4 linked regions of the Alligator mississippiensis genome follow. The protein of the gene in region 1 interacts with the protein of each later gene in a pairwise test. Links are inferred from orthologs where the notes say so. Each region holds a gene or a part of one and is shown on either strand. Other genes may lie near its edges. The genes, in order: AMOTL2, NFIL3, GCC1 and BRMS1L.

Evidence for each region.
Region 2: the proteins of AMOTL2 (region 1) and NFIL3 interact in binary tests that used the Homo sapiens proteins (3 or more experiments, as listed by UniProt). The two-hybrid records come from large-scale screens. The link is inferred for Alligator mississippiensis from reciprocal best matches to the Homo sapiens genes AMOTL2 and NFIL3.
Region 3: the proteins of AMOTL2 (region 1) and GCC1 interact in a two-hybrid assay, tested with the Homo sapiens proteins (2 studies listed by BioGRID and IntAct). The two-hybrid records come from large-scale screens. The link is inferred for Alligator mississippiensis from reciprocal best matches to the Homo sapiens genes AMOTL2 and GCC1.
Region 4: the proteins of AMOTL2 (region 1) and BRMS1L interact in binary tests that used the Homo sapiens proteins (3 or more experiments, as listed by UniProt). The two-hybrid records come from large-scale screens. The link is inferred for Alligator mississippiensis from reciprocal best matches to the Homo sapiens genes AMOTL2 and BRMS1L.

The regions. Positions count from the first base shown.
Region 1 is NC_081830.1:30,769,874-30,777,611, forward strand, and holds the start of AMOTL2 (angiomotin-like protein 2), read right to left. Parts: upstream 3,020-7,738; 5' UTR 2,935-3,019; intron 1,241-2,934; 5' UTR 1,151-1,240; coding exon 399-1,150; intron 1-398. UniProt on the Homo sapiens protein: Regulates the translocation of phosphorylated SRC to peripheral cell-matrix adhesion sites. Required for proper architecture of actin filaments.
Region 2 is NC_081826.1:212,579,391-212,587,129, reverse strand, and holds the start of NFIL3 (nuclear factor interleukin-3-regulated protein), read left to right. Parts: upstream 1-4,736; 5' UTR 4,737-4,908; intron 4,909-5,946; exon of another isoform or gene 5,947-6,034; intron 6,035-7,739.
Region 3 is NC_081827.1:2,260,434-2,268,108, reverse strand, and holds the start of GCC1 (GRIP and coiled-coil domain-containing protein 1), read left to right. Parts: upstream 1-4,674; 5' UTR 4,675-4,736; coding exon 4,737-4,750; intron 4,751-4,989; coding exon 4,990-6,007; intron 6,008-7,555; coding exon 7,556-7,675. Other genes in the region: Golgi-associated RAB2 interactor protein 1A, read left to right, coding at 530-708. UniProt on the Homo sapiens protein: Probably involved in maintaining Golgi structure.
Region 4 is NC_081825.1:257,108,174-257,115,465, reverse strand, and holds the start of BRMS1L (breast cancer metastasis-suppressor 1-like protein), read right to left. Parts: upstream 3,005-7,292; 5' UTR 2,940-3,004; coding exon 2,804-2,939; intron 2,338-2,803; exon of another isoform or gene 2,084-2,337; coding exon of another isoform or gene 2,065-2,083; intron 1-2,064. UniProt on the Homo sapiens protein: Involved in the histone deacetylase (HDAC1)-dependent transcriptional repression activity. When overexpressed in lung cancer cell line that lacks p53/TP53 expression, inhibits cell growth.

The sequences.
Region 1 (7,738 bases):
CACGTAGCTTTAAAAGCATGATAAAAAGTAAATGCCCAAATTCTCTGCCCTTCCACATTTGCCAGCACTTCCAGATCTGGGAAAGTATCCATAGAACTGGGGGAAAGTGAGGACTGGCACAATTAGCAGAAGACAGTAGAGTCCCTGCCTCCTCTCCTTATTCTGCAAGGCTTGGCTTTCTCTGCTTATGCACAAAGCCTTGGGCATGAGAATGCATTGGAAGGCAACGGCCAAGGTACTTCCTGGGAGCCATGTGGTTCAGCAGAAAGTTACCCAGCACTTTTTCTATTCGTCTTTTCCAGGGCTACGGCAACTAACTGCCCCCAGGACCGCAGGAATTGGTAGTGCATGCTGTTCTGTTGCAGATGGTGAGGTGCAATATACATGCTGTTGGTTACCTGACTTCAGGGTGCTGATACCCTGGGCCATCCCTGGAGCAAGGCCTGGAATCTGCCAGGTAGCTGACCGAGGGCTCCTGGGAGGGCATAATGTAGGGGTATTCTGGAGGGGGCCCCCGTGGCTCCATCCCCTCAGCATGCTGGCCTCTCAGAGCAGACAGCTGGTAGTGCCTCGAAAGCTGGGGATAGCTGTGGGAGGAACTCATGTGGTTCTGGGCCTTGGCTCCATTCCTCTCCAGTGACATCTGCATGAGGCGTTCGCTCAGCGACCTCACGTGACCATGCTTCAGATCCTTCAGGGACTCGTCCTGGCGCTTGCTGCTGCTGTCGGCAGCATAAGCTCTGCGCTGGCCTGTCTCGGTGTAAGCCCCTGAGCTGGCCACCCCAGCCTGCTGTGCCCCTCGCTGTGAGGCGTAGTACTGGGAGTGGGCCTTGGCCTCCTCATAGGTGGGCAGCTCCTCGCCTTTGTGCTGGGGCTGGTAGAGCCGGTACAGGTTGTTCTCCAGGTAGATGTGGTCGGAGTGGTGCTCCTGGCCCTGGGGCTCCTGCCGGGTAGACTGCTGCACCATATGGCTCTCTTCTTGTGTAAGGCTCTCCAGGGAAGAGCGAGGGCTGCTGCTGCTTCCTCCTCCACGTAGGGCCTGCTGCTGAATCGCCAGCAGCGTGCGGTTCTCTGTAAGGTTCCCATATCTCAGCTGCTCCTGGATGAGCCGGTGCAGGACTGTCCCAGAGGAATCCTCTGCTGTCCTCATCTTTGGCTGGTCAATCGGCAACCAGTGCTCCCAGTGGGAAGAAATGATACAGTCCCACGGATCTAGCAGCAAACGGCCACTGCAAGGAGCCTGCAAGAGAAGAAAATTAAAATTAGAAGACAGCTCTTGCAGTCAGGCAAGAAGCAACATTTTTTTCATAGAGTATCTTCAGACAGTTGCATTTTTCCAGAAAACCACTGCAGCATTCTGGCCCTGAAAGAAACTGCCTCTCCTTTAGTCACATCCGATGGGAGGTACGATGGGGAGGAGAGGGATTCTGAGCAATGCTTATATGCTCATACCCTGGGACCAGTAGAGAATCACAGCTAATTCTGCGGGGGGTCATTTACAACCAGGCCCTAGGGAACTTCAGCTTCAGCTCCTGTCCTAAGCACTGCAGCCTGCCTTGTGGATGCTGGACGCAGACCAAACCATGCAGGTTCAACTCCAAGGGAACCCATTTCTCTTACAGAACGGCACTCTACTCAGCTGCTCGTTGCTCCATTACATCCCATCTTGTCCAAAATGTCCTGACCTCAGCTTGCTCAAGAGGTGACCTTGGGTGGGGAGTGAGGAATGTCGCTAAACAGGGAACTTCTATGGGGAACTTCGCTGGCTTCCTATTGTTACACAGAGCCTTGGCGCACTGGCTTTCCCTGGGACTTGAAGCACAAACAGTGCACTGGCGGTCCACTGCAAATAGTCTGTACAGCTGTATTTACCACCTTGGAAAGAAGTGCTCATGGGAATCTAGTCAAAACACCTGAATTTGGTGCATCTATCTGCAGGTGCACACACGCATGCACACAAAGGCTAGGTAACAAAGAGAACCACGGCAGGGAAAAGCAGGGATTGCTGCCTAAGAAATCCAGTCCATCTGCTGGGTCGAGTCAAATTCATCCCCTTAAATAACAGACCCTGCAGTTCGGGGAAACTGAAGTATTGATAACGGAGGCAGGGAAGAGGTTTTATTAACTGCAGTGAAAGACGTGCTCTTGCCTGCACCGAACCGGGCTGTGCTGGGCAGACCCAGAGGCATGCCAGTGCATGCTACGCCTTGTCCCTGCGTTACCAGCAGAACAGGACAAACGTTACAGTCCACCTAACACAAGGACTTTCGTATAAGAGGCATTTGTCAAATGCGGACCATAAATTAGCCTTTTTAAATGCAAGCTTTGACAAACCTCAAGATCATTACGCACCCACGAGACACTTTGTGAACCATCTCCAGAGACTCTAATCGCCAAAACGAATAAACCTCGCCAGCTATGTTTGCAAACATTGCAACACCGGGTGCGCAAACAGGAGAAGTGGACTCAAAAGCGCCAGGATGCAGAGTGGGAACAGCATGTGTCTATTTATACTGCCCGGCTGGAGGGATGCGAATAACAACACCTTCCCAAACGCGGGTCTCTGATGTGGCATCTCTCGGCTGCGCTACGGCGTGTCGCCCCCCGCGGCCCGACCCTTCGCCGGCAAGAAGGAAGGGCAGCCGGACCAGCCCCGCCGAGACGGGCCGCTGCACGTGCGCCCGCGCTCCGGACACGGAGGGCCCCGGGCCCCGGCCTCACCCCGCCTCTCGTCCCATGCGAAGCCGGCTCCGCCCGAGCTCCCCCTGCAAGCTGCTCTTCCCTGGAGGTGGGCGAGGACCCCACCTGACCTGGCCTGGCCTGGCCCGCCTGCCCGCCCACCCACCCACCCCGCTCCGGCTCCAAGCACGGCGAGGGGCGAGCCGCCCGGCCCCGGCCCCGGCCCCGGCCCCGGCCCCGGCCCGCCGCACTCACCCGCGCATCGCAGCCAGGACCAAGACGAGCGTCGCGGAGCGGCCGAGCCGACAGCTATGCCCGGAATGCGGCCGCCCCGCCCCGGCCCCGGCCCTGGCCCCGCCCCCAGCTCTGCCCCGCCCCCAGCTCTGCCCCGCCCGCCGGGCCCGCCAGGGGGAGCGCGCGGAGCCCCCACCGGCCTCGGCTCGGCCTGGCTGCGGGTGTAGGACGAGGTGTGGGCAACGGGTGCGGGTCTGTCTCTTCCCTTCCCTTCTTCTTCCTCTTCCTTCCCCTTCTCTCGCTCCCTTCCCTTCCTTCGTTCCTTTCTTCCTCTTCCCCTTCTTCTTCCCCTTCCCTCTCTGCCTCCAGGGCCTGGCGCTGGGCTGAGGCTCGGCCGGGTGCCAGCCAGCTGTCCCTGGTCTTTCCGCCAGCACACCTTGTCTGGAGGTCTGCCTTCTGCCTGGCCGGGTTGTGCCACCTCTGCCCACCATAGGGTGGCCATCACAGAGGACAGTCTGGTTTTCTGCTATTCCGTCAACTGATACAGCACCCAACGCCTTTATGTCCTGTTTTTCTCTTCAAGAGAAAATAGAAGACATACAGGCGTCCGGTTTCGTATCAATACAGGACAGAGAATAACCGGACTGTCCTCTCTGATGGCCACCCTAGCCCACTAGGCCAGGACTAAGCCACAAGCAGATCACTTGTTTTGGGAGTCCAGAGTCAGGCATCTGCGCACAAGGTCCAGCCCAGCCCGCCACAGTACTCCTTGCTGGTGATGCAGGCCCAGCAAGAATGGGATGCTGGCGCTGGCACTGGCATGGCCATCTTCCTGGGTGATGTGGGGGAGTGTCGGCGATCCCTCTCCAGGCTCTTGAGGTGACAGTGGTAGTCACCCATGTTTCGTATCCATACGGGAGAGGGGATGATGACTGCACCACAGACCTGGATCTTGGTGTCTTAACCAGAATTGGAGATGAAGAAAGACATGCCAGAGTGAATCCTGTGCTGGATCTCCTCATCCATACTCTCTCTGGGAGGTATCAGGGGAAGGGATCCACTGCCTTCAGGGTTTTAGCATTGCAGGCAGCAAGCAAAATGGGAGATGTCCCAGTCGACATCGCGGCCTCGCACCCTCCATATGTGTAGTCACTGAGAAGGGAGGCAGCAGGTTTAGTGTAAGAAGCATCTCAAGCCTAATCGGCTTGGCTTGCAGCTGTTATTTCCCTGCAGTGGCCATCTCCACCCCCTGTGCGGGGTGCAGGCAGCATTGTTCTTGCTGTGGCACGAGCAGCCAGGGACAAATCCCATCAGGTGCCGTCCACTTAGAAAGAGATGGTCCTTGCTCTGCAGAGCTGATCATTTAAAGAGGCAGGCTAGACAGGTGCTTAAGAGGGGAAACAGAGGCATGAAGACAGGCTGCAACTTGCCAAAAGTTTTATGGCAGGTGAGCAGAAGATTGGGACAGAAGAGTTTCAGGCCTGCAGATCAATACCGCTTATCTGGAAATGCACGTTCCCCTCCCCACTTAATTCATAAACTTCTTGGAGTAGCCACGAGGAGACAACAAGGAGTCACATTAATGCAGCATGAGTTACAACACAACCATTCAACCCAATCAGCTGTGTCCCAGAAATGTCAACCTGGGTGGGGGAATGTTTGGGGACACAAGGATTGTATGAAGAGCGGGGTTTGGTTTGGAAAGTGGTAATCAGCAGTCCCTGCTGACACCCCGGTGCTGCTATGATTCTGTGACAGGCACCATTTTCTTCCTAAGTAAGGCCTCAGATAATAAAGTGAGCTCTTGCCTCATTCAAAAACTCACAATGAAATCATGAGGATTGGCAACACTGGGATACCGCCAGAAGGTAATTCACTGGGATGAGTGTTGAAAAGCAGGGGTTGCCCTTGACAAACAAGAACCATCTCAGCCCACGTGACTCATGAGACTTGCTTAAAAACAGTAAGTTTAAAAATGCAATATTAATATGTCTGGGGATCTTTTTTATTTGTCTCTTGGTTTCCAAGCTTCTAAGTTGTATGTTGCCCAAACTTCAATCTTCACCAGCAAGGCAGGAAACTCCCTATTTTTTAATGGAAAAACTGAGATTTTCACTTAATAACATGACTCCAGGAGCTGGGGCTTTGAGAAAATTGAACTCTGGTGAGACTTGAACTACTAAATTTATGACAGCTGGCAACAAGGGAAAGCTACACACTCAAGTCACTTGTGCTCTTGGTTTTTCTCTGCTAGGAGCTTGTTGTGTGTGTGTATGTCCAGAACATGCACTGCTGTCAGATGTGTGCATATGAGTCAATGGACTGACTGCTGGACTGGTGTCTGTCCATGAAAACTGCACGCTGGTGGATGGGGTGCTGAGTCCGTATTTGTGAATGGAGATTAAGACCAAGGCAGGAGTAGGTGCACTCGCATTGTTCACATGGAGCTTTGTATTGGAGGTCTGAGGAGCGGCGGGAGGCAGCTGCGCTGAACCTGGGGCCGGAGGTATTGTGTGGGTTGTGAAGGAAGAGATAGCAGGGAGCTTGCAGCTGCCGGTGGGGTGCCTGCTGTGTGTGAGGAGGTGGCAGGGAGCTTGCGGCTGCCTGGGGGGTGTTTGCCGAGGGGGTGTTAAGACTCTGCCTGCCAGCTGTCCAGGAGAATAAATCTCCTTGTTTAATCAGAGCTTTGAGAGACACACCATTGTCTTTAATACCAAACAAGCCTGATAAAAACCTGCCTTCACCATCTGCTCTTCCTTCACGCTCACTCCCAATGCTCCTCTTCGCTTCCCCTTCACTCCCTGCCCCCATCTGAAAGGTGATGGCCAGTTATAAGGCACAGAAGCAGAAACTCTCCTTGCTTTCCTGACCATTCCTTGGCCGTTTGGGAATGTTTCCCCTTTCTCTTTCATTACTGCTATTGTCCGCTCCCCTGGACAGAGGAATACCTTTTATGACAGGCTATCATACTGAGCTCGTGGGGAGAGACAGGAAGGATAGAGGGAGTGCGGCAGATGTGGCAGGCCAGACAGGAAGACACACTGAAGGAGACAGATTTTTATCTTTCCCTTCACTTTGCATCTGTAATTCCATGTCACGTTAAAGGGAGCAGCAGGTTGAGTCCTTCATGAATGGAGAGAGGACTATAAGCAAGAGAGGGGGGTTATGCACATACAGAAATCCATCACCCTGCCATGCAGGCCCTTGAATGTGAATGAAAGGCCCTGTGGCATTGAAACCATGTCGGGAGACAGGTGTTCAGCATGGCTGACTCAGGCACTGCTCATGTTTTTTTGCGCTATGGACTGGCATTTAAAACTCCTGGCTGTGGAACAGCTTCCAAAGGGCACAGCATGCCAGCCAAGCTGTGCTCATGGCCCTTGGCGTGGTGCTATCCCCATGGCTGACATGCTGACCCAGCTGGGGCCTACCAGACCATTTTCTTCTGGACCTGCCCCTGTGCAGACAACCCTGCTTTCCTCCAGCTAGAGGGGGAAATCAGTAGAGGTGATGAGGGTGGGGAAATAGAGCTTGATTTACAGGACAGATGTAAATCAGGATAGCTCAGGTAAATTTCCCCTGGCTCAGGATCTGGCCTCATCAGACCCTAACCATCCTAGATGAGCTATGCTCAGACTTGCTGATTCCTCTTCCCAGCCGAGGTTGCACTGGCTGGGGCCAGGTGCTGATCCAAGCCACTTTAGGAACAATTTCCTCCCCCGGGGCCTTCCTTGGAACAATAACAGCTGGGAAGCAAGGTAGAGCTGGATCACAATGTGACCCACGGACAAAGGCTGGGATGGTAGGGGGAAGGAGCCCGTGTTTGACCTGTACTCAGCAGAGTAGGTTTCCATTTCCCTCCATCTGTTTGGCCTCCAGCTACAAGTCATCACGGGCAACACTGCAGCAGCTGCAGGTGCGCTGAGCACAATGTGCAGTACTGGCTGTATAGAAAGCTGCATGCTCTCTTCATGCAGCCCAGCCTCTGCACAATAACGTCTCAGCCTGGTAATTGGACCCTTTCTCCTTTTAGCTTCCCATTGTTCCCTATGGAAACGAGACAGCTCAACAGATGTAATCGTGACAGGGAATCAACTGCCAGGCAATAATGGAAGGGGTTTGGAATACACTGACGCCATTAGCCAGGGGAGCGATCCTATCTGGCATGATCTTATCAGAGGTTTCACTGCCTGCTTTTCTCAATATGGGGCTGGTAGAAATTCACTTTTATGAGGGGAAGCTGAGAGAGAGAGAAATCCACTAGGCGGAAGGTAGCTGTCCCTGTCATCTCATGAAATCATCTGCACTCATGCACAGAGGGTGTAAAATGCTGCCATTGTGAGCTGGTAGCACGCTAAAGCACTTGGCACTAGTGGAGAGGATTATGCAAGAGCAAGGGCTGCAGTGAATCAAATGCAGGCAGCTCTTTAAAAATGCAATATGTGGGGGAAAGGGTCTCTTCAAATGAGCAGCACTGGGTGCATGTCAATGCATGCTTGGGGGCTGCAGTGGATTTAAAGGGACTTCACATTCTCAGCTGAAATAGCAATGAATAAGGGACCTAATGCAATAGGAAGCAGTTTGTTCAGATTTTCAGAAGTGCTCAGCTTCCAATTAGGCACCCAAATAAGTGGCCAGATTTTCAGCAGAGCTCCAGATGCTCAATGCATGCTGGGGGCTGAGCCCTTTTGCCAATCTGGCCCTAAATGACTTATAAGCAATAAGTAACTATTATTTGTTGCTGCGGTGGTGCTCAGACTGTAATTCCCAGACTGCTGACAGTCTGCTGCCAACTTCTAGGTCTACGCGACAGTCCTTATCCCCT
Region 2 (7,739 bases), on another chromosome or scaffold:
TTGGTGCTTTTTTTTAATGTACTTTGTTTCTGGCGTAGGTCTTTAAAATACAACTTGTAATCTACTAACTTCTCCTCTGGAGCAGGACACGTTCAAAAACTGATCAGTGATCAGTATGAAACCTTCTTATGCACTTAACTCCTTAGGTGTATAAACATTTTAGTGAATAGAAGTTTGTCTGCGTACGTTTTTTAGAAGCTGAACCTCATATCAATACAAATTTAGTAGTGTTTAGAAATCAAAGGTAATACTAAACTACCTAGAGGCTGTATCCCCAATTAATACCATCTTTTAAAAATACAGGCCCAAATTAAATAATAGTCTTAATTAAATATTTCCTTCAATTTTACAATATATTACGCTGTTAGGAACTATTTTACTCCTAATTCTCTCCAAGGTAATCAATATTAGCAATATTAGTTTCTGCTGTATGATGAATATATTAAAAGGCAAGAGATGAAATCCTATCCCAACTGAAGTCAGTGGGAGTTTTGTGTTGACTTCAGTGGAGTCAGGAATTCACTCAGAGTCAGATTCATATATTACATGAAAGATAGAAGTTACATGGGTGCAAGTGGGTGTAAAGGAGTCAAAGGACTTTTAAAATAGTGCCAGAAAGTATCATTTAGCATCTCCCATCCTCTGTTTAATTGCTTATTTTACTATACCTCTTCTCCTCTGGCTCCTCTGGTAAGCTGAGTCAATTTTCAAGGAAAAGGCGCACATGTATACAAGTAAATATGGTACCTTATTCACCAAGATGGGTGAAGGAAGGTGTAAGTCATATCTGCTTAAACTTGCATGCGAATTTAGCTATGGGTCTCTATGGCCTATCCAGCTCATCCTTTCCCACAGAAAAATCAAAAAGCTCCGAGTCAGATAATTATAGTACAGTTCCCTTCATTTAGTTCATCCCCACTGCATGGTGTGTGTGTGGAACTGGTTGTCAGGTTCAGGCAAGATTTTGGTGGACTTTGATGCAGACATAGAAAGCCTGGGCTATTCACTTAGTTTATGGAGCTAGGTTAGGTTATGGAGCTCAGCAGCAGTACCATTGAGCATGCAGCACTGTTCAGTTCAGGCTCTTCCTTAAAATGTGAGTAAAGTGCTTTGAGAAACGTAACTAACTAATGTTGCTGAGTAAATGGGGCAGTTAGCTCAGGTCCAACCATGGCACTGTGTGGACACAGTTATACCAGTGCCGGTATAGAAGGCAACCTGTTTAGAGAAGCATGGCATGCTTGAGGGTGGCACTTCCGGGCACAGTAAGTTTTACTGTGTAGACATGGCCTTAAGCAGCTAAGAAGGGTATCTACAAAAGCAAGCAAGCTAAAGTGAGGAGATCCATAAGATAGCTGATAGGAAATGCTGGGAAAGAAGAGCCATAATTCACTGTGGAATGTAAGCACCAAATCAAAGCCACAGAGTGATGGGAAACCATTATGGGAAGCTGGGAGGCCAAGACTTGCCTCTCTTCCTAGGCCACCAACCTGACCTCAAGAAGGGTGTCAGGTTGTGATAGTCTTCTAGTCTTAACTGCTGTTCTCAGACTTCTAAGGACCTGGTCCAAATCTTTCCTTTCCTGGTTCTGATCTTTTTTTCTACTTCTACCTGAGCTGTTTTTTGGAGTTAAGTGCCTTACGTCAGTTTGTTACCAGCTGCCTTCTTACCCCTAGTCAGAGTAGAGACTGAAACTCAGGTTTCACCCACCTTCAAATGAGTGTCTTAATGATTAGATCAGAGAACCATCCTTATACACACTCCTCCAGTCTCTGATCAAATTAGTATTAATGATGCCATGAAAAGCAGAGCAGTTTCAGTAGGAGGGAGTGTGAGAGGACCCCATCTGAGAATATCGCGGTCTGCATTTACCCAGGTGGTGGTAGAGGTGGGCTCAAATCCCTTGCGGTAGATGAGGGCATTGAGCCTGTCTGGATGAGTGCACTAACCACTGGGCTTTTGAGTAAAAGAATACTGCTCTCCCCAGCTGTGTTTTTGGCAGTCCTATCTGAGAAGGTCTCCTGGATTGGGCACTGTGAGTAGAACAAGCAGAGAAATGCCTAGACTGTAAACCCTGACAGGTACTGAGCTGCACAGTATTGTCAAGATCTAGGTGTTTCTCAGTCTGCCCTGTGTGCCTCCAGGGTTTTGTTGCCTAGATGCATCCAAGGTTAGGCAGCAGCTGAGCAGGGTCTACATTTTGGAGTAAAGAGCTAGGATTTACTTGCTTTAGAGCACTCTTCCAAGATCTCAAGAATCTGATTTATGGAGGAAGGCCCTGTGCTTATTCCTAGAAACAGAAGAGTTCATAATATTCTTAAATGCCCAGAATTCATAGAAAATTCTGGAAAAGGAATAGGTTTTTTTGCCAAAGACGACTCTGTGTAGATTTAATCTTTGTGAAAGATGCCGGGTTTGACAACCCTTGGAAACTTTATTTCTTCTCAACACTTCGTGAAGCAGCAAGAGTAATACTGGCAGGATATGCTTCCCCATATAGCCCAGCCAATGTGCCTCTTGCCCCTGACCTACTCTGAATACTTTAGTTGCTATGCTTAAAAAACCTCATTTCTGAGATTTCCAGTTGGGTGCTATTGGCTTTAGTAGTTTCATGATGCCTGGCAACTGTGAGTGAGAGAACCAAGGTTATTTCACAGCCACCATGTGATATTAGGTCCCTCTGACTTTTGCTGTTTATGAACTAGCCATCTAGAAATATTCTAGACCGCATATTGTACTCGTTAGAAAAATAGAAGCAAGAAAAAAGGAACTTGAGCAAAAAAGTTTGCATAAAAAATAGTCTTGTGCAATAAATAACTGGGGACCGGGGGGTAAATATAAATGGGTTGAAGATGCTTTGATATTTTGCTGAGGGAGGGTATGGATGAATGTGACAAGAGACCAGGGAAAAATACTCAGTGACCTTTTCCGATTTCTAAATTTGCATGATGCTAAGAATGATTTGGATCAGGCCTAACCCCCCTGAGGAATAGAAAAGATGACAGAATAAGAGGGGAAAAAAACCCTAATATTTTAAAAGAAAAAAAATCTCAGTAGAATGAAGTCATAAATCATTTTTGGTCTGGAAATACAAGTAAAAAAAATAACAACTGTCTGTTTCTTGTCTTGGGAAAACTACCATTTGGGGGAATAAAAGGCAAAACATGTGATAACCCCATTGTGAAGGGGGAAGAAAAAGGAGAGGAAGACATTGTGTCAGACACTTAATCAAATGTGTGTAAATTCAAACACATTCTGAGAGGAGAATTGGATTTCTAGCTGACCATGTGTCATTTTCTAAAATGGAGGTTAAACAAAGGTCAGACTCACACCAGACTTTCTTATTTAATCTTTCTCCTTTTAGTACCCTGGGAAAAGAGGTAGAGGTTGAAGGTTTGACAAATGGGAGCCAGTAGGCAAGCAGTCTCTCGGAGACATGGTCTCAGAAGTGGAGGGGGAGAACACCCAGGCGGGAAAGGGAGGGGAAATCTCATGCGCGCTCTCAAACATTTCTCCACCACTGAGCATTTGATGGCTGGCATTCAGTCGGTGGGAGAAATATTCATGGAATCCTTCATCCTCGGAGATATGGAAGAGAGAAGCCAGCAACAGACTCGTGTGTACCATGCGTGCTTTTGGAGCCCAGAGTGGCAAGTGGCAGAGCCGCAGGGGACACGCCCAGGACAGAAGCAGTGTCTGTTTAGCAGCCTTTTTCTTTTGACTAGTCCGAGACTGAGTGGGATGGATGGGAAGCGGTGCTGGCTAGGTGGCAGATATGCGCCGAAAAAGACCCTTCTGGGACTTGTGCAAGGGCTTGCGAAGGACAGCTTCTCTGTGGGAAGCCTGGTTTCCTGATGCTGTTTTTTTATGGGAGGATGGAGTGCCGTCCAGCCACATCAAGGCAGGCACCAGCTTGCAGCGTGGCTGATGCCCTCACCCCAGTGGCTCACACAGTGCGGCGCGACCCAGGGCGGGGTTTGGCTTGCGCTCACATGCCAGCCTCGGTTGGCCTCGCGGCAAAGGTGCCTGCCCCTGCACACACACACCCCCCTCCACACACACATGCACGCAGATCTCTGCACATATGCACACATGCCTGTACACACGCGCACCTGCACGCACACACATGTGCACACCTCCACACATGCCTGCATGCACTCACCCCTCGACACACATGCGCACACACACCCCTCCACACACGCCTGCACACACGCACCCCTCCACACACATACATGTGCACACATCTCCACACACACACACACACTCTGGTCTTTCCATACACACACACACACACACACACACACACACACACACACGCTCTTAAGCCTCCCTCGCCTCGCTCAGCCCCCGCGCCCTGGGGCCGGGCCGGCTCCTCGCCCCCCGCCTGCGCGCAGCCCGCTCTGCCCCGCCCCCCGGCGCCGCGGCCGCAGCTCGCAGCGCTGCCCGGGGCTGGGCGGGGCGGGCTCGCGCGGCAGTACCCCCGGCTGGTTATGCAATCCAGCCCTGGCCCTACTGTACCGCGCAGCGCCCGGCCGCGGGGGAGGGGTGTGTGTGTGTGTGTGTGTGTGTGCGTGCGTGCGAGAGTGGGGCGGGGGGAATTCAATTCAAGCCTGGTCCTGCCCCCTTCTCCCTCCCCCCCCCCCGCGGGCCCAGATTGGTTGCACCCGGCAGCGCCCAGCCCTGATTGGGGCCGGGCCGCTGCCAGTCACGGCACAGGCTGGCAGGAGCCCCGTGCGCTTACAGACAGTATTGACCTACTAACACACATCCCTCTGCGCGTCGCACAGGCGGCGGCAGGCGTTTCGGTCCTGCCCCGGCCTCGGCACAGGCCCCCGCCGCTGCCCAGCCCTGCTCAGCCCAACCCGGGGCCCTCCGCTCGCCCGCCCGCCGCTCCCACGAGCTATGAAGGTAACACGGGGGGTCCTTCCTCCGCGTGTTCGCGGCCGCCCCGGGCTGGGTTGAGGCGGCGGCTGGGCGGTTGCATAAGACGTGTCGCTCCCGGGCCGGAGCGCCGCTCTGACAGCGACCCCGCTCGCGCGGATCGGAGATGGGGATCTGCCGCGGGTGCGGCCGATTGACAACGCGGGGGTTGGGGTGGCTAGGGCACAGCGAGGAGGGGCCACAAAAAGCCTGGCTGGGACGCGGGATCGGCTGGGTTTTCGGCGCTTTGTTTTCCTCCCCCCCCCCCCGCTTTGAATCCCGGAGCCAGCCCGAGGGGGAGGGCGCTGGGACTCGGCTCGTTCATCCTCCGGAGCGAGGTGCGTGGGGCGCGGGCAGGGATCCGTGCCGCCGGCTGCCTGCTCTGTTTTCATGCGTGAAATGAACACGCGCCGCATCCGCTCCCGCTCCCAGCGCATTGTGTTTGCCAGGGGTTGGGGTGTGTGTGTGTGTGTTTCCCCCCCTTGTTGTTGTTTTGCTCCCCCCACTTCTGTCCCCGTCCCCAGCCCCTGCGCCGATCGCAGGATAGTTCCTGGAAATGTTGCATTATGTAAGCGCGGCGCTGGCGGGCGGGCAGGGCGAGGGAGCGGGGGGCTCGGGGCGCTCCGCCGCCGCCTACAAAGACGCGGGGACAAATCTCGGCCCCGCTACATGCCGCCGGACCAGGCTGGGGAGAGGAGCGCTTGGTTTTGTGCCGCTTTCGGAGTCCGCTCCCGAGGCAAGTGGGTAACAGGGAGAGGGAGGGAGGGAGGCAACTCGTGCTGGCTTTTGAATGTGTGTCAGGTTCCTTCGGAAGAAAATTGTGCTTGTCTATATTTAGCCCCGTCGCCGTTCAGCAATTGTGGCTGCGGTGTTGCTATTTCTGGTCTTTTCTCCAGCGCTGCTGTTCAGGGCTGTTTGCTGGGGGGTGTTTTGCCTCGTGGCTGGGGCTGGGGCGGGGTGTTCGGGGAAGGCGCGGGCTCCGTGGGGGCTGGCGTGCACGGACTGCTGTGCGCTGCGGGTGCGCTTGGCAGGGGGCGCGGAGCGGCCCGGTCCCGCGCGGCGCTGCCGGGAGCCGCGTCCCGCGGCGGCGGTGTGGCGCCGCGGAGCTATGTAGGTCAGTATTACGTGCGCGGGGGGGCGCGAGCGCAGCACTCGCAAGGAGCCCCCGGGACACTGATTTCATTTCATTTCACCCCGGATGCAAGATTGAGTCGGGGAGGGGAGCCGAGCATTGCCGCCGGCCCCCAGCTGCTCTACAGTCTTGCATCTTTCCTTGAATTGCGAAGCCTGCAGGACTCATTTTAAACTAAAATCAAGGGGGGGGGAGGGGCAGTGAGGCTGTTTCCAAGCACCAGGCCCCCACGGCGGGGGTTGTTCCGCGGGCACGTTGTGTTTGTGCCCGGTGCGGTCGGGATCGGGGGAGGCGCGCCGTGCCGTGCCGTGCCGTGCCGTGCTGCGCCGCGCTGGAGGGAGCCCCGGGCCGAGGGCGGCGGCCGTGCCGGGAGTGGGGGGGGGCGCTGCGCTCCGCTCCGCGATCCTTTGTTCTGGAGCCGGGGGCTGCTGGGAGGTAGCGCGGAGCCGGCGGGAGGGAGGCGGCGCGGCCGGGCTGGGGAGCGGGCGCCGTGCTCCGCGCCGCGGGCTCGGCCCGGCGCAGGGAGGGATGCGCCCCCGGTCACGTAGCGCGTGTGCTCGCTGCTGCTCCACACGGAGGGAGGGAGTGGGAGGCTCCCGCTCCCTGCGAGCCCAGGAGGCAAGGGAGGCTGTTGAGCAATCCAGCCCACTCCCACATCCCCCCCTCCGTCCGCCAGCCACCAGCCTTTGTGCCTCGGCTGGGCAGCTCCCTCGCTCCTCCGCTCCTCTCCCTCCAGCACGGGGTGTCTCTGAGAGTAGAGCCCCGCTTGTTCCGAAGCATCCAGCACCCGCTCGTTACTTCGCCTGGGGCTTTTCGGGCTGCCTAGGAGTTCCTCCGGACACATGGAGAGGGCTTCTGTGTTTTTCTCCACGGGCACACTAGGTTCTTTGGATAGATGTGATAGCCTTTATTAGACCAGCCAACTAGTTGGAAAAATTGTTCTTTGCAAGCTTTCGGCCACAAACACACTTCTTCAGGTGTAGGGAGAGTCTGCAGTGCCTGAAGAAGGGCGTTTGTGCCCGAAAGCTTGCAAAGAACAATTTTTCCAGATATTTAGTTGGTCCAATATAAGATATCACATCGACCCAGAGAATGTAAAAGATATCCCATCTTTTATATACCCAGATATAAAAGATATCACATCGATCCAAAGCACCTTGCTTGCCTATGTCCTTAGAGCCACATCTGTAGACCAACACGGCTACAACCAACAGCTCTTTTGCCACTGGGGTTATTTTTGCCAAGTCTCCTCTCTTACTTTCCTAGGCCTAATGGTTGTGAACCTTTCACAGGCACCTTTTCAACCCAGTGGCCACCTGGCCTTGGAGATGAAGAGATGTTAGTGCCAACTGAAGAATTGTTATGATGATGATGATTTTACAGCATCTGGTTTAAAATCCCCGTGGCTCAGTAGCTGTTCTAAAGCATGCGGAAGTTAATAGGCACTTTCTGTTGAATTCAGCTGGCTCTGGGTGAAAGCTAAGCTTTCAGGCTCTTGTGATGTCAGTCTTCAGTTACCACAGAGTCTTCTCATATAGAAAAAGCTATGGATGTCTCATATGTATGTATGTATGTGTGTATATATATGTATATGTGTATGTGTGTGTGTGCGTGTATACATATACATATATGTATGTATGTGTGTGTGTATATGTATGTATATATGTGTACATATACATGTGTTTGT
Region 3 (7,675 bases), on another chromosome or scaffold:
CAGGCGGGGACGCCGAGGGCTGCACCGAGCACGGTTACAGCCCCACAAAACCTGGCGTGTCATTAGAGATGAGATACGACCGGTAGAAAGAGGGAGCACTGCCAGCAGCCGCAAGAGCTTCACCTTCGTGCAAGGCAGGCCGTTGATAAGGGAAGCTGAAGGGGTCGTTTTTGCAGGGACGGGAGAAGTCAGGCAGTGATATTAAGGAAAATAAGGCAGAATCTTCTCCGTGATGTGCTACAAAAGAAATCCCAGCCATTGCTGAGGTCTGAGGGATAGTAACGTTTTCAGTCGCAGGGGAGAAACAGCAGAAATATTCATTAAAAATCTTTCTCTTTGCTCACCGGCAAGAGTCTGGATGTCCCATAACAGAAAGCCCCCGCTGGTCCAGTAGCAGCTAGTCGGGTGTTGGACAACAGCATTCCCAACACGGCAGCTCTAGCTAGCCAGAACCCAAGAGTTATAAAGGAATTGGCCGAGATGAGGGCCGCTTGGAGTTCATGTCTTGCCTTCACATTATGCCTTCCAGGGAAGCTGATGGTGTGTGAGAGGTGCCTGGGGCAGCTCCCGGAGCCTGACCCGAGCTATGCGGGCGAGCAGGCCAAATCGAAGGGTGAGACCACGCACCACGGGCTCTGGGAGCAGGAGGCTCCATCCAGGCTCCTGCCGCTCTCCCGGCTCAGCAGCCTCATCGCCGTGGGCCAGTGATAGTGGACGGGCCTCGGCTCCGGGCAGCCGGGCTGGGGTTAGCACGAGGACCGGGCCGACGCGGCAGCAGCTAAGACTTGTAGCTCCTGTCTGAGAATCCCGAGCATCATAAATATATCGCGGCGGGGCAAGGACCTTCAGGCCAGTAGCGTTGGGTTTCACATGCCTGGGGAGGGGGCACCGCGTGCCCAGCCTGCCCGCGACCCCTTGAGGCACATACATGATGAGGGAGGGAGGGCACTGTCCCTGGTATGAGCCTCCTGTGCCTGCCTCCACCGCCCTGGGCCCCACTCAGGCCATGGTGAGGACCCCAGGGACCACGCGAACCCCACCGGGATCTACGTTAGTGTCTCCCGCACCGAGCCATAAGCACAGGCTGGTTCCTGGTGCTCTGGGGGCTCCCGTGCCCTTTCTGCAACCAGAGGAAGCCCCTGGCATCTTCTGCCTCTGTGGATGCGTTCAGGGGCAGGAGGTGCTGGCCGGAGCTCTCTGCTCTGCGTCCCCTGGGACCCCCGGTTATTATCCTGTCCCCTGCACGTTGTCCGTGGTATTTGTCGCTGTCCCCCAGGCACGGAGGTGCGGGCTGGCAATCCCACGTAGGCCCAGCCTCACCGCCAATATAATGCATTTTCACATAGGCAGCATGCACCCTTTCCCCAAAACCCAACTGCTGCAAACAGAGGGGCATGTTATACGCGAGGGAATATGGTAACGGCAGTTTCTGCTGGGTGAAAGCAGGAGGAGCCCTGCCCGCTTGGCTCCCTCCCGCTGCTGCTTCCTTCTGCCTCTCAAAAACCAGCTGTGGCTCTCACCCCAGGGCGTTGTTTGCTGGAAATTACGGTATAGCACCTAGGCCCGTCCTTGCAGTGGCAGGACATGAGCAGCCCCTTGCACCACCCGGGCTGGGTTGGGGGGTCTGGGATAGGGGCAGGTTGGGGAGGTCACCCAGCCCCTCCGCTGCCCCCAGGGTCCCTATGGCAGCAGCACGTCCTGCTGGAGCCCCAGGGCACATCCCAGCAGGAGGTTTGGCCCGTGGTTGTGCCAGTGGGGAGCAGCCCCTGGCACCTGGCAGTGCTGAGCTGCGCACCCCCAAGCCCGCCGGCTCTGTAGGAAGTAGTTTGCATGGTGCTATGCTAAGCGGTTGACTACATTCCCACCATGCTTTGTGAGTTAGGGGCCTGTAGCCTCGGGGCTCTTCACCTCCTTTGATTCCAGGACCCCTTGGAAAATGCCTGGAGAGCCTTTCTTGCCTATGGGAAAAAAATACTGTATTTTCTAGCATACAACATCCCCCTCCCATAAGATACACCTTGTTTTTGAAAAGCAGAATGAAGGAAACCACCAGCCTTCTGTGGGCACGGGGAAGGAGAGGGGAGAGCAAAACCCTCACCGCCTCTGGATGAGACCCTCGGGTAGCTGGGGTCATGCTGGGGATCCTCTCCTGCCTGTGGGGTGCTCAGCCCCAGGACGGGTCCTGTGCATGAGGCAGATCAGGGTGCAGCTGGGCTGGGTCCCTGTTGCTGCTGCCCCCCCACACCCCATGCACCCCCTTTCCCAGAGCTGCATTGAGGAGGCCCCTCCAGGGGCACCCCCACGCCATTCCTAGGGGTGGGCTGCGATTTGCAGGGACAGGGGCATCTCCCCCACATCAGGGATGATCATGGGGATTTCCCAGCTTCTGGCCTTTACTGGTTGCTACATGGGTCCAGGAAGGAATTTTTCCCCCTTTCTGCTGTTCCGTGTGTTCCTCCAGAGGCGCTGGGAGCTGCAGCCCAGGCTGGGGATGGACTGGGCTGTGCCAATGCTCCTGCTGCACCCACGCTGGAGGGTCTTGCCCCCACGCTCAGGCTCAGCCCCAGGCTGCACTGGGGCAGGAAGGGATTTCCCCCCTGCTCAGACTGGTTGCACTGGGGGGTTTCCCCTTCCTCTGCAGCGGGGCACGGCCTCGTCCTGGGCTCTCTGCAGCAGCCATGACCCCCTGGCAGCAGTGGGATGTTGGCAGCCGCGGCCCCCCTGTATCCCAGGGGTGGGGGCGATGCCTGGGGCTGTGTCAGGGGTGACTGTGTCATGTGGCTCTAAGTTTGCACACGGGGTTTGTTTGGGGTGGGGTTGGATGGGGCTGATGCTGACTCAGGCAGGGCTTGGACTAGATGCGACCCTGCAGCTCCCTGCCAGACCCGCGGCTCTGGGACTCTGATTCCAAGTACCACAATACAGTTGACCACACATTAGCTGCTAACTGTAAGCTGCTTCACTCCCTCCCTCCCACAACTGCTGGCCCGGAAACTCACCCAGGGTCCTTCCAACGCATGCTCCACAGCGAGCAAAGGCTTTGGAAAGCCAGGTCCCCCCGGGCACCTGCTAGGTCCATGCAACAGCGCAGGTCCCAGCACAGATTCCTTCTTGCTCCCACCAAAAGCCCCGTTTTAAACAGCAGATAATCGATTTTGCCCCCGAGGCTGGTACACACGACTGGTGCACGCAGCGGGCAGGTCTCCAGGCTAATTTCAGACCAGCTAATACAGGGAACAAGAATAGGCATCCAAGACTTTAGGACCTGGATGCGTTAAGATTAAATTGCCTTCAAATCTTGTTGTGCCTCCAGAAAAACATGCTTCTTGTAACTTCTAATCTGCACTTGCCAGGCCTTATCTGTGCAGTTCGAGCTTTTATATCTTTTGGCGATTGAGTTTGCTATTAAAGATGTACATCTTTGTACGCGGAGAGTGTTTAATGTGGTGGGACCGGTTCTTCAAACACTTCTTGGTTTTCAGAGCCCATCTGAGCTCAACGTCCTGGCGCGCACGCCTGCAGTCTTGTGAGCTGGCCACGCTCCCCACCCTCCCGATTGGGCTGGGACAACGAGGGCTCTGTGTGCGGGCGCCACGGTCGTCCCTCCTCGAGCGGCGCGCCAGTCCTAGAGCTACGGCCCGTAATGTTTTTGCTCAGTTTATTAATCCCACGTTCAAACTACAGCTGGGTTTCCTTTGGCAGCAGGGCTTTTATGGCACTCTGGCAGGGAAGCACGAGTCCCACCGGACTTGGTACAGACGCCAGATCAAGGGCAGGGCATCATCTGTGGGTCTAAAGATGGCCAATGAGGCCGATCCAGGATCGAAAGGCTCTGCCGCAGCTCGGACACGTGTTTCCGTGCGGGGCGGGCGGCTCCGGGCTCGTGGCTCGGTCCGTGACGCGCTGTTTCTGCCGCTCCTGCTTTTCCATCTGCTGTTGTGGCGAGGCTTCAAAGCACCGAGCTGCCGGCAGCCGGCTCCTGCTCCGGTTGGGCCGTCCTGGGCAATCGTCTCCCACGAGCTGCTGTCGATGCCGCCTTGTTCCAAGCTGGCCTCGAAGACGTCCTCGAAGCGCTTTCTCTCGCACGCGCGCCGTGGCTGAGCGGGGGGAATTAAGACTTGCTCTGTGGGGGCTGGAGTCAGACACCCGGATGACGCTGCTGGTCCGGCCACGCTGACGTCGGATGATTGTCGCCGACGCTGTAACCCTCCGGCCCACCCTGCCACCCCCTCTCGGCCCCACCGTCCTGTCCAGATCCACCCCAGGGCCTAGGCGTGTCTGCCCGCGCTCTCCCACGGTGCATGCCCCGTGTCCATGTGCCATAGACCCCCGCTCCAGTGCCCCATACACCAGGCCTCACTGGCTTCGTGCCCCACAGCCCTTCAAAAGCCCCACAGTGTATGCCCTATGACCCTGCAGCTCCATTGGCCAAACCCCTTTGCCCCAGAGACCCCAATGCTCCCCAGCTTCAAGGGCCCAGCCCCACGCCACGTGGCTCCCGCCTCTCCCTTGTTGACACTTTATTAGCAGCATGAACACAGCTCAAGTTCCGGGTCCGGGAATGCGCATGCGCACGCCGCATCAATAAAGCCTACCTCCCTCTCGACGCATGCGCAGTCCGAGAGCCCACCGGCGGGCCGCGATGCGCATGCGCCTTAACCCGCGAGTTTGCACCCCGCGCAAGCGCGGGCGGCCCCGGCGGGGGAGGCGCGCATGCGCAGTGCGTCTGGGCCTACATGCGAGTCTGCAGGTAGGGAGCGGACACTGTCGGGGCTAGTTCCATCCGGGCACTTCCGGGGTCGGGTGACCCCTGACCCTTGACCCCTGCCTCTGGGGTGGCACCAGGCCCGTCCGAGGGGCACGTGCCCTGCACCCCGGGATCGGGCCCCCCCCCCCAGTGCAGCCAGGATCGGGCCCCCTACCTGTAACGGGATCGGGCCCCTGCGCGCGGTGCGTGTGCAAACGGTGACGCGCGTGTCCCCGTCCCAGGGCGCCAGAGCAGAACCGGAGCCGCGGCGCGATGGAGAAGTTCGGCATGAATTTCGGGGGCGGCCCGAGCAAGCGGGACCTGGCGGAGACGATCGAGTCGCAGAAGAAGCAGCTGCTGCAGTACCAGGCGCGCCTGAAGGACGTGGTGCGGGCCTACAAGAGCCTCCTGAAGGAGAAGGACGCGCTGGAGGCCAGCGTCACGGCGCTGTCGGCGTCCCACGAGGCGCACGGCGGCCCCCCCGCCCCGGCGGACGCGGCGGACGACGGCAGCTCGGTGCACAGCGAGGACAGCGGGGGCACGGCCGCCAGCGCCGACACGGCCGCCAGTTTCCCCAGCGCCAAGGGCGAGCTGGGCGCGGAGGAGGAGAGGGCCGCCCCGCCGAAAGCGGAGGAGGCCAGCGGGTCGGAGAGCGGCGTCAGCACCGGCAGCGCCGAGGCGCCGGAGGCCGACAGGCGGGTGCTGCAGCTGAAGACGCAGCTGGCCACCTTGACCAGCTCCCTGGCCACCGTCGCGCAGGAGAAGTCCCGCATGGAGGCCTCCTACCAAGCGGACAAGAAGAAGATGAAGCAGGACCTGGACGACGCCGCGAAAAAGGCGGAGGAGGAGCAGAGCCGGCTGGAGGCGGAGCTGGCGGGCGCCCAGGAGCATCTGGCCGAGGTCAAAGCCCGCCTCATCGCCCAGCAGCACGACCGGGCGCAGGAGCAGGGCGACCACGCCGTGATGCTGCGGGAGCTGCAGCGCCTGCTGCAGAGCGAGAGGGCCGCGCGCCAGGAAGCGGAGCTGAAGCTGGAGGAGACCCGGGAGGCGCTGGCCGGGCGGGCGTGCGCGGCCGACCGCGCCGAGACCTACGAGCTGCACGTCCGGCGGCTGCGGCAGGAGGTGGAGGAGCTCCAGCGGGAGCTGCAGGCCGCGCGGGACGAGAGCGGCAAGCCGGACCCCCGGCTGCAGACCCTGCGGGAGGAGATGGGCAGCCTCAAGCATCACTTCCAAGCGCAGCTGCTGCAAGAGATGAGAAAGGTGGCTCCGTCGCTCGTGCTTCGGCCGCCCGCTTGTAGGAGTGGGGCGGGAGCGGGGTTGCAACGCGGTTCAGGCGGTAGAGACCCTGCATCTCGTACCTCCCAAGCGAGGTGGTGCTCTCTCCTACCTTTCGTAGACATTTGGGCTGGAAGGGACACTGGAGGATCATCGAGTCCAGCCCCTTCGTCTTCAGGAGGAGACTAGGCAGATATTAGGCTGGGGTGATATGATCCCAGCACCCGTTCCTGCCCGGGGCTGGCGGTCGGATGTGGTGATCTGTTTAGGTCCCTTCCGACCCTAAGTGCCATGATACTATGAGTAAGAGATTTTAAAAAAACAACATTTTCTGTGTTAGCGGCGGCCACCCTGTGGTACGTGGCAGAACAGGGAGAAGGCAGCAGAGCAGCAGATCAGACAGGAAGCGCAGGGCTGGGAGCGGAAAGCAAAGCAGCAAATTGTGCAAGGAGGACACTGAAGGAAGCAGGAAGCAGAGCAGTGGATCAGGCTGGGAGCAAACACGCTCCCAGTGGTCTTTCCTGCCTACGTGCAGGGAGCTGGACCCAATGAGCTGTAAAGTCTCTTCCAGCCCCTAATAACTATGCAGCTATTAGAGCACTGGATTGGTCAGGGAGCACAAGGGAGGAAGCAGAAAGCAGAGCAGCAGAACGGGCATGGGAAGGGGATCGGAGCAGCGCTCGGGGAAGGTGTGGGGCTAACTTGTGGCCGAAAAGGCTGGCCCCGCACTGTGCCAAGTGAGAAGGACCGCCTGTGTCCTGCGAGGCTAGCAAGTCCCGCACAAGCCAAAGCACCCAGCGCGAGCGGGCAGGTCCCCAGTGGTCGGGTGGAGACGAGGGTGGGAAAGCAATCCTCGTGCCGTAACGTAGTGTCTCGGCACTTCCCCGTGGTGCTCGTTCTAGCTGCCCGCCCGGAGCGGATGCCGCGTCGTCCCGCGGCCGTGGGGCAGCACCTCGCATCTTGCCTTTGTAATAGGTTCCCAAATCCTAGGGCAGAAAGTTCAGCGCGGGCACCGCCGTGAAGGGGAAGCTACTTTTAATGTAGCTTTCTGCAGAATTCCCCATCCCTGACGTCGAGATGAATAACTCGGAAGAGAAGGGGAAAAGATTAGGGCTTTGCTCGCTCCAGCTTCTGGGCCTCGGCAGCTCCCCTTTTCCCTGGCTCCGTGCAGAACGGCTCGTGAGATGCACTTTGAGCGTGTCAGCCTTCCTGTGGCAGCAGCAGATCCGGCTGTGGGGGCCAGGGGCCGTGCCACAGTGAGATCCCGCACTTCTGTTGGTGGAAACATCCCAGGAGCGATGTGTCCCGTGCCCTACAAGTGAGAGTCATGGTGCGCTCAGGGATTTGGCCCACTGGCTAGGGGTTGAGCACCCCTGGGTTAAGTGGCTTCCTCATTTCTGCGGGTGGGGGGAGAGAAGGCTTGAAATAGCAGATGTGGTAGCAGAGAGGAGGGAGCTGCTCCGGCACTTGAACACAGAGGCTCCTTGCGTATAGTGAGGCAGTAACGAAACCCATCTGTGCTCTTCTTTCCAGACAGCCCAGGCAGAAGAGCAGCTCCGGCAGCAAGCCCAGATGGAGGAGCGGCGCGTGGCCAGCTTGGAGGGGCAGGTCTCCGAGGCGTCGGAGCTGCTGGGCACTTACGAGAAAGCCAAG
Region 4 (7,292 bases), on another chromosome or scaffold:
GCATACGAAAAGACAGAGGACAAGGTAAAACACAGGTTGGGTCTGTGGCACTCTCACTGCCTCTCTATGGGGGGGCACGTGGCACTTATGAAAGCAGGGTTGCTTCTACTTCTGTACACCACACTGGTCTTCCCCCTTCTAAGCATATCACCCACAAAATCCAGAGAGTGATGCGTGTATTCTTTTGGGGCTCCACATGGAAGAAGGTAGCCAGAAAGAATCTGTATAGGGTCAAACGAGCCAGGGGTAGGGCCATGCCAGACACCCTCCTGTTCCTCTGGGCAAAGTACATAAGCCAGATCTGTAAACTGGCAATGGGCACAGAGTCCAAAACAGCCTGTCTTGTGAGATATTTTGCAGGGCACCTCCCGAGACACTGGGGGACGTTCACGTCAACCAATAGGAGACCGTGGCTCATGGACCCACCTCAGTTCTACAAGATCCTGAATGAACTTCACAGCATGTACAGCCTACGGAATGCAGGCCCCACCATGGCCAACCACAAGAAGATACAGGGGGGGGGTGAGACTTAGAGATATCGTCACCCGTAGACTTCCTCCCGGGCGACGCTTGCCAAGCTGTGTGGGAGCGCATCTGCCACACAGGCCTGTGCAAAGACCACAGAAACTCGAACTGGCTGGTAACCTACCGAGCCCTTTCAGTGAGGGTTTGGACACATAGGAAGGGGCAGCCGGGGAGATCCTGCTGCCTGATGGCAATCTGCCTAGGAGCCACTGAGACAATCGACCACCTCCTATGGCTCTGCTCTTATGCCAAGGAGGTGTGAAAAAAGGTAAAGTGGCTCTGCAAAGTGACGACAGGGGTCAGACAGCTGACCAGAGAGGCAGCGCCATACGGGCACCTGACCGTTGGCCTGCTTCGATCAGTTCATGTCCTGCATCAGGAGCGCCCTGCGGAAATCCAGGAACCTCCTGATGTACAGACACATGAACTAGAGGTGGCAGACTGTGTTAAAATGGCCCTGAGCAAACTCCCATACTACTATCAGCAACTGGCAGCACAGGACAGTGAGGACACAGTCAAATCCACCTGGCAGAGGGATACCTGACACAGGATCTTCCAAGACTTACCTCAAGTGGGGAAACGGACAGCAAAGAGGATGTCGAGACAACTGGATTCGAAGGCAGCAACAAGCACAGCAGCAGCAGATGCTCCAGTGAGAGCGATAACAAGTGAACCGAGTTTTTAAACCCCGTATTCAGGGAGAGGACTAAGAGACAGTGGGTTTAAGGGAGATGCAGCCTTGTGGACGGGTGTGCAAAAGCATGGTTCCACAGGTACACATACTATAATAGGTGCACAGGTTTTTCTTTTGTAGGTGAAGGCACAAATAAATGATGAAAAGTGACTAGGTGTGTATGTGTACATGTGTACACACACATACATCCCCCTTTATGTATATATAAAGATATATACTTTTACCAAAAAAAAAAAGTGTTTTACAGTCATGCTCAGTGTTGACTATATTTAATTAATGACATAGTTGGTTTCCAGTACAAAGCACATACTACTTTTAGTAGCAGTTCATAGCTAGGTGATGTACTTAATACAGTTTCTTTGTACATGAATGTAAGATGAGGTGTTTTCTTCCCCATACTGATTGGGGGAAACAAATCCTTGTCTGGTAGTCAAGTATATACAATATTTCTCAGAACTGTAATGCAGATAGATACAATAATGACTGTATTCATACTATAATGATGGGGGCTGTTATTTCCTGACACATTTACACGGACTGCTCCTGTTTTTTTCACATCAGACAGCTGAAACCTCAACACCCAGAGTCCACTTTGCCCAATCTCTAGCATATGATTAACCCTGAAAGAACTGGAGTAAGGCCACACCAATGTGCACTACATCAGTGAAGGCATCATATATCTTCAGCTTTTCCCAGGGTTGCCATTCACTCAAGCAAATTGGCTGTTACTTGCATCCCCCACTGTAGCAAGGCTGTAACAATATCTGCTCCACAGAGCTTGCCAGGAATAATCACCTTCCCCGTCTGCTCTGGATCCCCGTGCCCAGCCCTGCAGTAGCTCTCACCTTTCACTAAGATGGTCATTGGAGCTCTGATCTCGCACTGGTGAGACCCTGGACTTCCCTAGCCCCAGAGATTTAGGCAGCACCATCCTGAACAACTCGCTACCCAATCTGGTTAAGCAGCACTGGCCACCTCAGCCATTCTCAGACGACTGGAGCCTGCCCTTTGCCCCAGCAAGAAGGGAAGGAACTGCCTGCCTCTTGCACAGAAACGGAGGGAGACGGGATACCTCCCTCCCCGGGAAGCCAGGACAGCGGTTCTCAACCTCCCAGCCCTCGAGCACCGCTGCTAAGCGCCAGCTCTCCGTCCCCAATAGTTTCTGACTGGGAACTAGGCAAACCCAACGCGAGAGACACCGGGACAGCCGGGGGCACGCCCCACACGGGGCAGCCGAGCTGAAACCCCGCCCCCGCCCCGCGTCCCCGCCTCGGCAACACCGAGTCAGGGAGGAGCCGGCGGAAGCAGACTCAGAGGCGGGGCGAGCGCCGCTCGGCGCATCGGCCCGGGGAGGAGCGTCAACGGCTCCGAAACCGGGGCGGGGCGGGCGCCCTGAGGCGGCATTCCCCGCGGGGCGGAAGGGACCGGAGAAGGGAGGCTGACCTGGGCCGAGGGGAGGGGGCGGGGCGGGGCGGGGCGGGACCCCCGTGGGGCGCGGCCAGCTGAGGCGATGAGGCTGAAGGGGCCGGCCCCGCCCACAGTGCGCGGGGCAGGGGGGAGGGGCGCGCGGCGCTGCCCGCCTACCCGAGCTGTCGCCCTCCTCGGACACGGACGAGCTCTCTGTCTCCTCCTCCTCCGAGCTGCTGCCCTCGTTCTCCCCGTAATCCACTTCCATCTCATCGTGGTTGTTCTCCTTCTTTTCCCGCGAGTGGACCGGCATCGTGCCCACGCCCGTCGTCGCCGCCGCCGCTACCCCCGGCCCCTCCTCCTCCTCCTCCTCCTCAATGAGCCCGCGCCATCCTTGCCCCGGCGCAGCCGAACCCCCTGGCGCCGCCCCACCGCCCATTGGCGGGTTCCCCGCCGAGTGGGTGGCTCCCGCACGCTCTCGGCAGGCTTGGTTGGCCCGCGCGCGGTGTATCTCGGGACTCGTAGTGCCGCCCCTAGTGAGGCGGTGCCGAGGTTCCGTGCCGGGGCAGGGGAAGTGAGCGGCGGCCCGTTGCGATCGGAGGCGCCGCCGGCTGGGCTGAGGGACAGCCCCGGGCCACGACCCCGCCCTTGTCCCAGCCTCAGGCCCGAGGTTGGCGGCTCGGAACTGGCAGGATTGCCCGGGCGGAGGTTTCTCCTCTTCTCCTGCTCCGACCCGTGACCTCTCTTCATCTCCTGGTGCAAGCGGTGCTCAAGCTCCCGGGCCGCATCCGGCCGCGGAGTCCGCGACGGGCTCCCCAAGGCTCCGGACATCTACCGGGGAGCCAGGGCAATTCATAAGCCCCCGCCGCCAAATTTCCGAGCCCCGCGGGGCAGGTGACAGGGGTCGCGCTAGCCCGCGCAGGACCTGGATCCGCAGGGGAGGGGCAGTTGGGATCTAGCGCACACAGGGCTGGGGGCAGGGCAGCGGGCCCAATCTGGCACAAGCAAGACTGGGGCTGGGCTGGCAGGGCTGATCCAGAATATGGGGCTGGGGCTGTGATCTGGCACATGCCAAATTGAGCTCAAGGCCTGTATTTGGCCCATGGAGCCAAAAGATTGGGCACCGCTGTCTTAGTAGATGTAATATCAGTTTTTAATTACACCTGACTTTAAGTCTGCTCCCTAGGGCTGACGATAACCACTGGGAGGGGTTTGGTAACAAGGAGGATTTCATAGTCAGTAGACATAAAGAAGGACTAAGAACCAATGTTGTCTTGAGTTGTGCTGTGTTCTACAGGCCTGAATTCCAGGATTGTTCTGTTTGCCCTCCAGCCATATTAGGGGTTGCTGTATTGAACAGAGATGGTTAACAAAACTGTTTCCATGTTATGACGGGAGGTGGTTATGTCCACTGAAGCAAAGAATTGTGTCTCATTTAAGTGCTGAGTTCTACAGATTGTGTCCATAATAGTACACAAAGTAGTCTGTCTCCTTGCTTGGCATGGGGACCATCAAGAGTGGGATGACATGATGTTATACAGGATGCTGATTTCTTGGTATGTATAGGCAACATCTCAGAAGAAAGCTTTGGAACAAGAGTTAAAATGGCAGTAACTATTTATAGTGCTAGAATCATTGCTACAAAATAGGCTTACTTTTAGTTTTTAGGCTAGGTGTGGGTAGGTTCTGTTACACCAAAACAAAACCCAAGTTTTGCTGTAGCAAAAAGCAACAGTTAGACTTTGTTATACGTTGCTCACATGCTCTTGTGGGGTTGGATTACATGGCTTCCTGAGGTCCCTTCCAACCCTCATTTTCTATGATTCTTTTCCCAAAGTGATCTGTACAGGAAGAGTGTTTAATATGTTAGTGGTGGGTTTAAGCCATGGTTCTCAAACTGTGGGCCACCCAGGCAGGTATCGAGGGATTGGTTGACACCCTCCACCCCCAAAGTGCAAGTTGACCCCCCCACAAAAAAAATATTTCAAGTCTATTATCTCCAACATGGGAAACAGAAAGGTGGAGTTAATTAGTCAGGATGCAGCACCATGCTAACATGGCAGCTTTGCTCCTATTCCAGATCTAGCTTTTTCAGAGATTTTACATCTCTCCACATCATGCCTGGAAAATGGAGCACAAAGGAAACAGGCTGTGACATAGCGCGTGGAATTGGAAGGAATTTGGCTGGGGACCCCAGGGAGAGAGGGTTAAGGAACAGGTTGGCAACTTTCATGACTATTATTAATTAGAAGCATCTATGCTCTGGCATGCGTATATGAAACATACCAGACAATGGTTAAATATGTAATTATAGTACTATGCAGATTTGGTTAATAGAAAGATAAATTGCTATAATTGTAAGTCACTGTTTGAAATCTTGTTCACTATTAGGGATTAATTACTAAGTTTAATTTTTCCACATTAGGTGCAGCTATTCTGAGGTAACCAATAAAATATTAGTCTTGTTTGTTTGCCAAAACAGAGTCATTAAAAAGTGTTTGTGTGTGTGTGTGTGTGTGTGTGTGTGTGTGTGTGTGTGTGTGTGTGTGAGAGAGAGAGAGAGAACTTATTTTTGGTACATGCAAATAGCTGCATCAGTGAAAAAATAATAAATTCTTGATTTACTGTAATTTATCCCATCTATTCTTAGCAATTATGCTTATCAATATCATAGCACAAAGATCCTGGAAGCTTGCTATGATGGTGCTACATTGGTGTAAATAAACCATGTACAGGATGCCAAAGTATATACTAAACATATTCCATCGCAGATAGTGCTACATTCTATTACATTTTTGTTCTTTTAGTCAATTCAGTGGAAGTGGGTGCAGAACACAGTATAAATTCCATTGCTGCAAACTGATGAACCGTAGTCCACAAATTAAATTACTACTAAAGTACATCTACATGAGACATTTACTTTGCAGTTGACTATTTGAATGCACAGTAAGCATCTCAGCATCTACACGTGCAACCCTGTTAGGGCACACGAAACTAATAAACTCCTTAGCAGGGTATGTCTTGTAAATAAAAGTCCTACCCTGCTGCGGAGTTTTGGCATGCACATTAGCGCACGTGCAGACACTGAGCTGACTGGCTGGGGCACAAGGGTGCTTCAGTGCGGGGGGATGCCTGCTGGCTAGCACTGCACTGAAGCATCCTCATACCCCAGACAGCCGCTCTGGAGCACATTGAACCTGATAGGAGCAGCCCTGGGCTGGTAGGCTGATTCCCTACCCTCGCCCCTGGCCCTCCTGCCAGCCAAGGCTGCTGCAACCCAGCTCAATGTGCTGTGCTCCAGGCACATTTGTAAGTTGTGTGACTTTAGACATATTACTTAGGTTTTTTCCCCCTCAGTTCATCATCCGTAAAATGGGAATAAGAGAGCAACTCTACCTTGTTAGGATATTGTGAGCATAAAAACATTACACATTGTGAGGGAATTAGATAGTATGGTAGTGACTAATATTGTCATAAATACCTGAAGTTAAGTTTTCTAAAAATATGGAAAATACTAATGACAGATTCAGATACTTTTAACAACATGTAAATACTTATGACCCTATCTATAATTGTAATCTGCCTGAAGTTATTTTTCCCATAAGAAATTATCAGACAAACATAACATGAATAGTACAATTTTGTGTAGGTATCAGTTGATTTTTTTTTTTTATTTAGTAACTTTGAATATCTGGTCCAAAGAATATAGGTCTTATTTACAAATCCTCAGCCTGACGAAGGGTTTTTAAACCCAAAAGCTTGCAAAAAAAAATTTTTTTTCCAACTATTTAAGTTGGTCTAATAAAAGATATCAGATTCACCCAAAGAATCTTGTCTGCCTATGTCCTGAGACCAACACGGCTACAACCTACACCCTTATTTACAAATTGGAGCACTGTATCCTAAAAATACTGACTAAAGATTAAGGAGGCATTGTGTAAATCAATTTTTGACCGCTATCCTTGGATATATCAATAAGGGAATGGCAAATAGGATGATGGAGGTGGTTTCAGCTTTGTATACGGCACTGGTGACACTGTGTATCTGAGTGCTGTGTCCCGTTCTGGCATGGAGATATAAAAAGGTAGAAAAAATGAAGAGGGCATAACATTTTACTTATTAATATTATATTTAAGATGGGGGTGTATGACCACTGCCTTTAATTTAAAATCCTCGTAAGGCAGGGTTGGGTAAGATGCAGCCCTCAAAGCAGTCTTGCCGGCCCACTGAGGTTCACTTGGCCCCGCCCATGCGCGTGCGGCCGGTCCCGCTGCCCCTGCCCCCGGGCGTGCAGCGGCGCTGGGGCAGCGCAGCAGCCGGACTCCATTTCCCAGCAGCCCCGGCGGCAGCGCTCCTTCCAACCGCGGCTGTCGGAACCGGCGCTACTGCCCAGGCACCCCGGCCCGCCTGTCCCACGCCCAGTGCCGGGACCTGCGTGGGCAGGGCGCACAGGTGGGTGGTTGGGATGGGGCCATGGGCTGGCGGGGTGTAGTCTCTGGGAGCAAGATGGGCTCCCCGAGATCTTGTGGAGGAAACAGCGCGGGGCTGGGGCCAGGACAGCACTGCGATCTGGTGGCCGCACGTCCCTGTGACCCGCGTGGGATCCATGGGCACGGCCGTGCGGGAGCGAAAGTGTCTCAGCTCCCCCCCTGCCCCAGCTCCCCCC